Danio rerio: one gene and its partner. The protein of the gene in region 1 purifies or fractionates together with the protein of each later gene. This does not show direct contact. Links are inferred from orthologs where the notes say so. Each region holds a gene or a part of one and is shown in the gene's direction. Other genes may lie near its edges.

What was found. The genes of interacting proteins can lie anywhere in the genome.
Region 2: the proteins of phb (region 1) and actb2 purify together in Homo sapiens (affinity purification with mass spectrometry; 4 studies listed by BioGRID and IntAct, with this or other methods). This does not show direct contact. The link is inferred for Danio rerio from reciprocal best matches to the Homo sapiens genes PHB1 and ACTB.

The regions. Positions count from the first base shown.
Region 1 is NC_133178.1:14,401,035-14,405,217, forward strand, and holds the start of phb (prohibitin 1), read left to right. Parts: upstream 1-1,295; 5' UTR 1,296-1,321; intron 1,322-1,793; 5' UTR 1,794-1,811; coding exon 1,812-1,896; intron 1,897-4,183.
Region 2 is NC_133178.1:39,482,410-39,486,627, reverse strand, and holds the start of actb2 (actin, cytoplasmic 2), read left to right. Parts: upstream 1-1,339; 5' UTR 1,340-1,352; intron 1,353-2,577; 5' UTR 2,578-2,667; intron 2,668-4,028; 5' UTR 4,029-4,035; coding exon 4,036-4,158; intron 4,159-4,218. UniProt on the Homo sapiens protein: Actin is a highly conserved protein that polymerizes to produce filaments that form cross-linked networks in the cytoplasm of cells.

The DNA.
Region 1 (4,183 bases):
ACCTGAGGTATCAAGACATTTGTGCTGCTCGTTACATTACCAACCACAGGAGAAGGCAAATTGTTCAACAGGATAGCGCTCCTTCTCATACTTCAGCCTCCACATCAAAGATCCTGAAAGCAAAGAAGGTCAAGGTGCTCCTGGAATGGCCAGCCCAGCCACCAGAGATGAACATTATTGAGCATGTCTGGGGTAATATGGAGGAGGAGGCATTGAAGATGAATCCAAAGAGTCTTGATATGCTTGATGATCTTGGGGTATTAGTGCTATATAAATAAACGTCCTTTTCTGTTTTCATACAGCATGTGGTACACTAGTAGTAAAGCCTCTGTACAGGAATTGCAGTAGAAAAATGTAGCAATTTTATACCACTCTCACTTTCAACAGCAATGAAATAAAAATAATAATAAAAGCTCACTGCACGGTGGCGCAGTGGGTAGCACATTTGCCTCACAGCAAGAAGGTTGCTGGTTCGAGCCTTGGCTGGGTCAGTTGGCGTTTCTGTGTGGAGTTTGCATGTTCTCCCCGTGTTGTTGTGGGTTTCTCCTTGGTGGTCCAGTTTCTCCCAAAAACATGTGGTATAGGTGAATGAGTATGTATGGGTGTTTCCCAGTGATGGATTGCAGCTGGAAGGGCATCCACTGTGTAAAACATATGCTGGATAAGTTGGCGGTTCATTCTGTTGTGGCAACCCTTAAAGGGACTAAGCTAAAGAAAATAAATGAATGTGTTTCGTTCTTTGAACACAAAATAAGTTATTTTGAAAAATGTTGGAAACTGGTAACCATTGACTTCCATACTATTGGTTTTTCCTATGGAAGTCAATGGTTACAGGTGTTAAACGATGTTGAAAACATATTTTCAGTATTTGAACGTGGTTGGACTATAGCTTTAAGCAGTCGAAAGAACGCCCACATGACAAGTTTGTAGCAATATTTGTTTACAATACGCAATATGAATTACATTGTCAATAAAAAAATATAAGAGAGAGAAAGACAGAAGAAAAAATGAATAAAGAACATGATATAAACTTGAGCATAAGACATTTAAGTATCAATAACAGTACATAAATTAAAGTCATTACAAAATGAAATAAGGAACGCCCACATATTGCATTGCAGTGAACCCACCTCGTTCTAAAGCAACGTGAGATGTACGCCAATAATAATCCTCCTTACTCAAGAGGGCGTTCGGTTTGTGTCTCTCTATCCAATCGGAGAAACTCATGTTGACACTGTTCTGCGCATGCGCAAGCTCCACCTGCTCATGTGTTTCTTGCGCAGGCTCCGGTGGAGGTCACTGTGATCATTCAGCGCAGCGGGTAAGTGCTCACGTTTTAGGAGACTTACATTTAAATGCGAACTTAAAGCTTTTGTTTTACTCACAAAGCATCGGTAATTATAACGCGACAGTATGAAAGTGAAATAAACACGACGTGTGGGTGTTTGTTGGCGTTATTGCATGACAGTTGCATCATTAGCGTGTAGCAGGCTAATAAATGAGTGAAGTTCACTACTGCGGATTGTATTAATGCCTGTTAATCTGTGTCACATGTGTTATTGTAATAGCAATTGTTTTTAAGTGGTGTATATATGTGTATATTGTGCAGTTTTACTTGTGATTTTTCCAGTGACCGGTTAGAGTGAGATCAGATTAGCACGTTACATTGATGTCAGTGTCACTGTCAGAGTCAAGGCTAAACCGGCTAGCATTGGTTTGATTACCCAAGGGCTCTATATGCACAAGAGATCACCCATGATGAGATACTGAAGATGAATGTGTTTTCCCCGCAGGACTGTCACTTTGTTGTCATGGCGAAGCTCTTTGAGTCCATTGGGAAGCTGGGATTGGCCTTGGCCATTGGAGGAGGTGTTGTTAACTCTGCTCTGTACAATGGTGAGTTGTAATAACTACTGATGTGTTTTGTAAAACAATGGCAGCAATGGTTAAAGCATTTAATTCCTATAAGTATTCTAATAAGGTCAATTTAAAGGGCTTACACGCAACAAATTAAATTTGTTGTTAATTTTATCCACATTGAGGCTGTCGATAGGTCATAGGAATGCACAATATTGCAACTTTATATTGCTATATTTAGAGTTCCCATGGGTCTTGGAATTTTTGTGAATATCATGAGTTTTAAAGGGGGTCATTTGTGCATATATCAGTTTTCTAAGTGGTTTAAATGCAGTTGTGTGGCAACCGTGTGTGAATATAACCAGCTTGTAATGGTAAAACAATAGTTTTATTATAGTTATTTATTATATTATATTATTATCCAATAGTTTTATTAATAGTATTATAATCAGACTTGATAAACAGTCTGCATGAACACCTTGATTGACATTGTACCTGTCATCAGAGGGGGAAAGCCCGTCCATTAGTGACGATCTCTGCCTCATTAGCATAAACAGCCCTGAGTGAGAAGCAGCCATTCGCCATTAAGTCGCCCTTCCACTGCACACGACAAGCGAAAGACTGGAAGACGTTGAATTTCCAATGGAGAGTAGTCCGGGAGCTGCGTAGAGTTCAGATTCTCTCCGTATGTGGAAAATTTGGATCCGATATGAGCTGCAGAGCTGCTGTTGGAAATATTTGAACTCCTGCGACTACACCGTATACGACCGACCGCATGTGATGTAGTTCAGTGTTGTCCAGGCAGGTCTGTGCGTGCGAGATGAGAAATAGGATTTTTTTTTTTCTTAAATCAGAAAAAAGTCTATATTAAAAAATGTTTTGTTCATAAATGAGTCATAAAAATACTTTTTTTTGTTTGTTTCCACATTCCCGCCAACATTTTTAGCGGTCTGAGTTTCTAGTGTTGATTCATTCATTCAACCATGGTGGACACCCAGAGAGTAAAGGCTCTTGCTTTTGCACTCTTTTATTACTGACGCTGTGAGAACATCTTCTCTCCCATGGTGCACGACAAAACTGAAAGTTCTGTGCGACTGCCACAAGGGGGAGTATTCCGACAGTCGTGTTCAAATGTGATGTGCAGTGGAAAGGCGGCTTTAGAGTGTTCACCTGCTGAAGATAATGACACTGACTATAAGGCACTATTAATGTGAAGTTTTAGATGCGCAAATGAACACTGTAGTCTCCATAGACTGCCTTCTTTTGAGACGTTTCTTTCACATTTTCAGTTTTCACAGAGATCTCCTTAAGTACTGTTAATGAATCTGCCACTATGCTGACGCATTGACATTTATAGCTCCACCTGCCTTTGCACAGAGCAAAAGCTAGTTTACATTTCAAGCGGCAGTCACAAAGAAGCGGCGTAATTTGGACCAAAGCCTAAAAGGGGCAGTTTCAAAATGGTTATAAAGCAATATTTATTTTTCATCCTGCAAAAAAGGATCTTAATAGTTCATTTTTAAAATGTTTATTTCAGATATTTAAAGTCATGGAAATTTTTTTGTCCAAGTCGAGGAACATCTAGATTTTGCTTGTCAATTTTTATTTTACTTTTCATTCATCAAATTACATTTATCGAATTGCACTTTATGTAGCCCGTGTGTGTGTGTGTGTGTGTGTGTGTGTGTGTGTGTGTGTGTCTGTGTGTGTCTGTGTGTGTGTCTGTGTGTGTCTGTGTGTGTGTCTGTGTGTGTGTCTGTGTGTCTGTGTGTCTGTGTGTCTGTGTGTCTGTGTGTCTGTGTGTCTGTGTGTGTGTGTGTGTGTGTGTCTGTCTGTCTGTGTGTCTGTCTGTCTGTGTGTCTGTCTGTGTGTGTGTCTGTGTGTGTGTGTGTCTGTGTGTGTCTGTGTGTCTGTGTGTGTGACTGAGAACTCTAAATCATGCTGTTTTTTGTTTTTTTTTAGCAGGTGTGCTTGTGTGGCCGTTTTATTTTTATTTTTATTTTATTGTTCATTTCATAAAGCACAACATTTCTCTATGAGTTCTCTGCCCGCTGCTATGTTGTTTGTGTGTTTCTACAGTAAATGCACAGGGACTTCAAAATGAACTTTTGGTGCTTAACACCTTTTTATTGGTCTTTTTATTTTTCTGCTCTTTCAAAAATAAGGTCCAGGATTTAGATTAAAAGTTACTTGTAAATATTTTCTCTATTTAACAACAGTACAGTAGGTCAGTAGTGAAAGATGGCTTCACTTGCGTCAGATTTTGCTTGGTCTTAAAGCTTTCTTAGATGGGTTATTTCACAATTTATAATGGCATAGCAGACAA
Region 2 (4,218 bases), about 25 Mb from region 1:
AATGCAGCATGACACGCCCAAAAAGTGTTCCTTTGAGAACAACTTCATAAATATGTTTCTTATCATTATGCATGAATGGTGTACTGGGAGAGCTTTGGTATCAGAATTGAGATAAGAGACTTTGGCATTCTAAAGGACAATGACATTATCACACTGACAGTCAACAACACTTTATTGCTCTGGAAATCTTATGTCATGGGGCAAAGCTGAGGTTCATTAGGACAGTACCTTATTTAGAGATGAATGGGAAGGCTGTAGTGGGCTGCTATCAGGGAAGGGTGGTGGTCCTCGGGGGAACTATGGACTCACAAAAGCACATCTGCTGTAACAAGATCCCCTGTGCAATCTACAAAAGTTACAAAGAGAAGCATGGTTGGTTAAAAAATAGAATTGACTGGATATGCTGAATGCATTGTTTGTTGTGTGTTACATCACATTAACCACAGATTGGTGCTAAATATTTGCTTATCTTATAAAAACCTGTGTGTTTATAAAGGGGGGTGTGGATGGATGCTTGGCATTCTTTGAAAAGATGTTGGGGGATGGAAGGAGGAGACCTTATTGATGAGTATCCAGTTTGCAGATAACAAGTTTTTAGACATTCATACTATGATGCTGTTTATGTCTGTTTTTTCTCATTTTTTCTATACACAAACAGCTATAAAACATTCACTTTTATATCTGATGCTGTATATTAAATTTCGTTGTATTTATTCTGTTTGCTCTGTTGGGTCATAGCTAGGGCCAGACAGAATCTGCTGACATTTTTTGCTTTTTCTGCAGAGAATTTTGTAAACAATCTGTGATTTATGCGAGATTTTTTCGGGAGTATCGTAACTAAAAACTTACTATATGAAATAAAAAAAAATAATACCTTTTTAACTTTTAATAAATATATACAATGCAAGTCCACCTAGATCCAATTATTTGGTCGACAAAGCAAGTCTCTCACATAATATATCTTCTAAAAGACAGAAAACATTACTTTCAGACCATATTGTAATCAAATGAACACTTTCATATTAGTCAATAATATTACGGAAATGTATTTAAAAACTGAATAAACATATATTTACACCTTTGTCTTTATTTCTAGAGTGCTTTTACAATGTAGATTGTGTCAAAGCAGCTTAACTTAGAGGATTAGTATAGTAAATTGAAACTGTGTCAGTCCATTTTTTAAGAGTTTAAGTTCAGTTCAGTTTAGTTCAGTGTGAGTTAATTTTTACTGCTGAGAGTCCAAACACTAAAGAGCAAATCCAAATACACAAGTCAATAAATAAACTCAATGATGGGCTAAAGATCTGGGGAAATCTGCAGATTTCTGTGCGCACAGATTCTGTGTGGGCCTAGTCATTACCTATACTCAACGTTTACTCTGAGAAACTTCCATATTTTAGAGGTAAAATGCTCAGAATTGTAAAAAGTCTTGTCAAAATACTTGGAATTTGCCAAAAACAAAATAAAAGTCACATCACCTCATTGTCCTTGGTATCAGCAAGCACTTTTAACACAATCAGCTGTTTTTGTTTATAACTCCCACTGAAGGCCATGTGCATTACTCCCAAGTTACACAGTAAAAAGTCACATGTAGTTTATCATGATCACTGCTGCTCAAGCACAGCTTTATCTGTTATTCAGTGTGGCAATATCTGAAATGTGTGCAAAATATTATTTATTGTAGCTGATCACCAACACTTTCAGTGTTTTTTTTTTCTACTTTTAATGAGAATTATGTTCTTAGGATTTATCCTTATAAACCTCTTTAAAAAGAAATGTTATGTCTGCATAGACACGACATGAAATTATGAACAGAAAATTTAACTATTTAAGATCAAGACTTGACATATAACATTTCTAATGAACATTAAACCTGAGGTAGGCCCACTTGCAAAAATGTAACTGCTATCACTCACTTTATACATCATTGTGTAACTTGTACACACAAAAATAGTGAAGCAATGTGGCATGGAATGCAGGTCCCATTCATTCAAAGTTATTAAAGCACTTTCTTAAAGTGCATTACTACTGAGCTAAGACCAGCTAGTTGCTCATACAACATACTACAAGTAGTGTCATCCTAATTTGGATAAAAAAAATGTCCATTTTATACATGGAAAAGTACTCATTAGATCCCCCATTGTTTGTATTACGGTATTTCGTGAACACAAGAGGTAAATGACCTACAGAGCTGCTGTTGTGTTAGATTGAAAACACAACACAGGATCATGGAGGCATCCATCATTATGACGCATTCTGCCACTTGTAACTCTGCACAGACTTTTTGAAAAGTTTAATTGAGTCTTGGCGTTGTCGCAGAAAAATACGAAAAATTCTGTGTTAAAATTTGCAAATAAAAATTCCAGTTTTATAGGAAATCGCCATGGCCTTGTTCTTTAACCAGTTAAGCTTCCCCTTCTTTCACTCTCAAGTTGCAAGAAGCAAGTGTAGCAATGTGCACGCGACAGCCGGGTGTGTGACGCTGGACCAATCAGAGCACAGAGCTCCGAAAGTTTACCTTTTATGGCTAGAGCCGGGTATGTGCCGTCATATAAAAGAGCGCGCCCAGCTTTTCAGCCTCACTTTGAGCTCCTCCACACGCAGCTAGTGCGGAATATCATCTGCTTGTAACCCATTCTCTTAAGTCGACAACCCCCCAAACCCAAGGTGAGTTGGTTTTACAGTTTTTAAGCGTTTAATTATAGTTTCTATCTATTAATGTTAAGTAAAATGTGTAAATGGATAAATATGATTTGATGAAGTCTTTAGACAGTTCATAACGGTCTCTTTGTAGTTATCTACTAGGTTTGATTTATAAGTGGTGGTTCTTTTGATAATCTATGTTACATTTAATAAATATTGGCTGTATCTTAACTTTTTTGTAGCGTTAGTGGATGTGGCAGGTGAGAATGTCGGTAATTTAACGTGACCAGTCGTAGGCACGACATTGAACATTGAATAGGCCGGTGTGAAATGGGTGTTAAGTCTTAATATAAAGTTGTGTTCTGGCTAATCTCTCTTTAACAGCCATAAATGTGATTTTTAACTACAGTTTTGAGGGTGCTGGTGAGCATGTTGCACACTTGATGGATAGCCGGCATGGGAAGTTCTTTGTGCAGGCAGTGCTGCAGCAGGGTGTGACCTACTTTAGCTAGCCGGCTAACCAGCTCTCATCTGATGTAACGTAAACCCCATCAATCTAACATCGGCTCATTCGTGCTTTATAAGATCGAAGATCTTGTTATTAGTAACGGGTATTGGCATTTAGTTTTAACTTGGTTAATTTTCTTTTTGTTATGTGTTCTATTTAAATGTAGCCTGCAGCCCCCTCTGTCTTTAATGAAGCTGAAGATTAACGTTAACGTTAGTGAAGTGTTGTATCCGCTATGAAAGATTTGAATTTTAGAGGTGTGGTCCACTTTAATAACGGCTGCGGAGTTCTCTGGCTGCACTTCAGCCGCTGTGACTGTCGAAGCAGAGCCCATCAGTTTTTCAGGATCTCGGTGATTTTTGAGGCTAGACTATGAACTGAACCGACTGAGAGTGACCGTCCAGAAATGCTTTAGTGTGAAGTCTCCGCTCACGAGGAGTCCGTGGACTGACTGCAGATCTGTGACGCAGTAACACCCGGCGGCAGACACCCGTTGAAATGCGGTTGTGTAATTGATCGCAGGCGAGGGTGGAAGAGGATGTGAAACTTCATTTGTGTAAAATTTAGGGAGTGGTCCTGGTGTGATGAATGTCGAAATCTGTTCCTTTTTACTGAGCCCTACGACTCTGGCTGAGTGCCACACCGCCGGCAGCCGCAAAGCGGCTCAAACCATTGCCTTTTATGGTAATAATGAGAGAATGCAGAGGGACTTCCTTTGTCTGGCATATCTGAGGCGCGCGCTGTCACTAGCGCCCACCAGCGGTCAGACTGTAGAATGCAGAGCAAAACAGGAAGTTGACTCCAGATGGTCACATGCTTGCTGAAACGCCTCTCCCTGGCAGCAGTGCAATTCTAACAGTTTCCCTTTCTTTTACAGTTCAGCCATGGATGATGAAATTGCCGCACTGGTTGTTGACAACGGATCCGGTATGTGCAAAGCCGGATTCGCTGGAGATGATGCTCCCCGTGCTGTCTTCCCATCCATCGTGGGTCGCCCCAGACATCAGGTGAGAAGACCGATTAGTTTGATTCTGACCCAAACTGAGAACTTTCTCAAGTAGTTCACA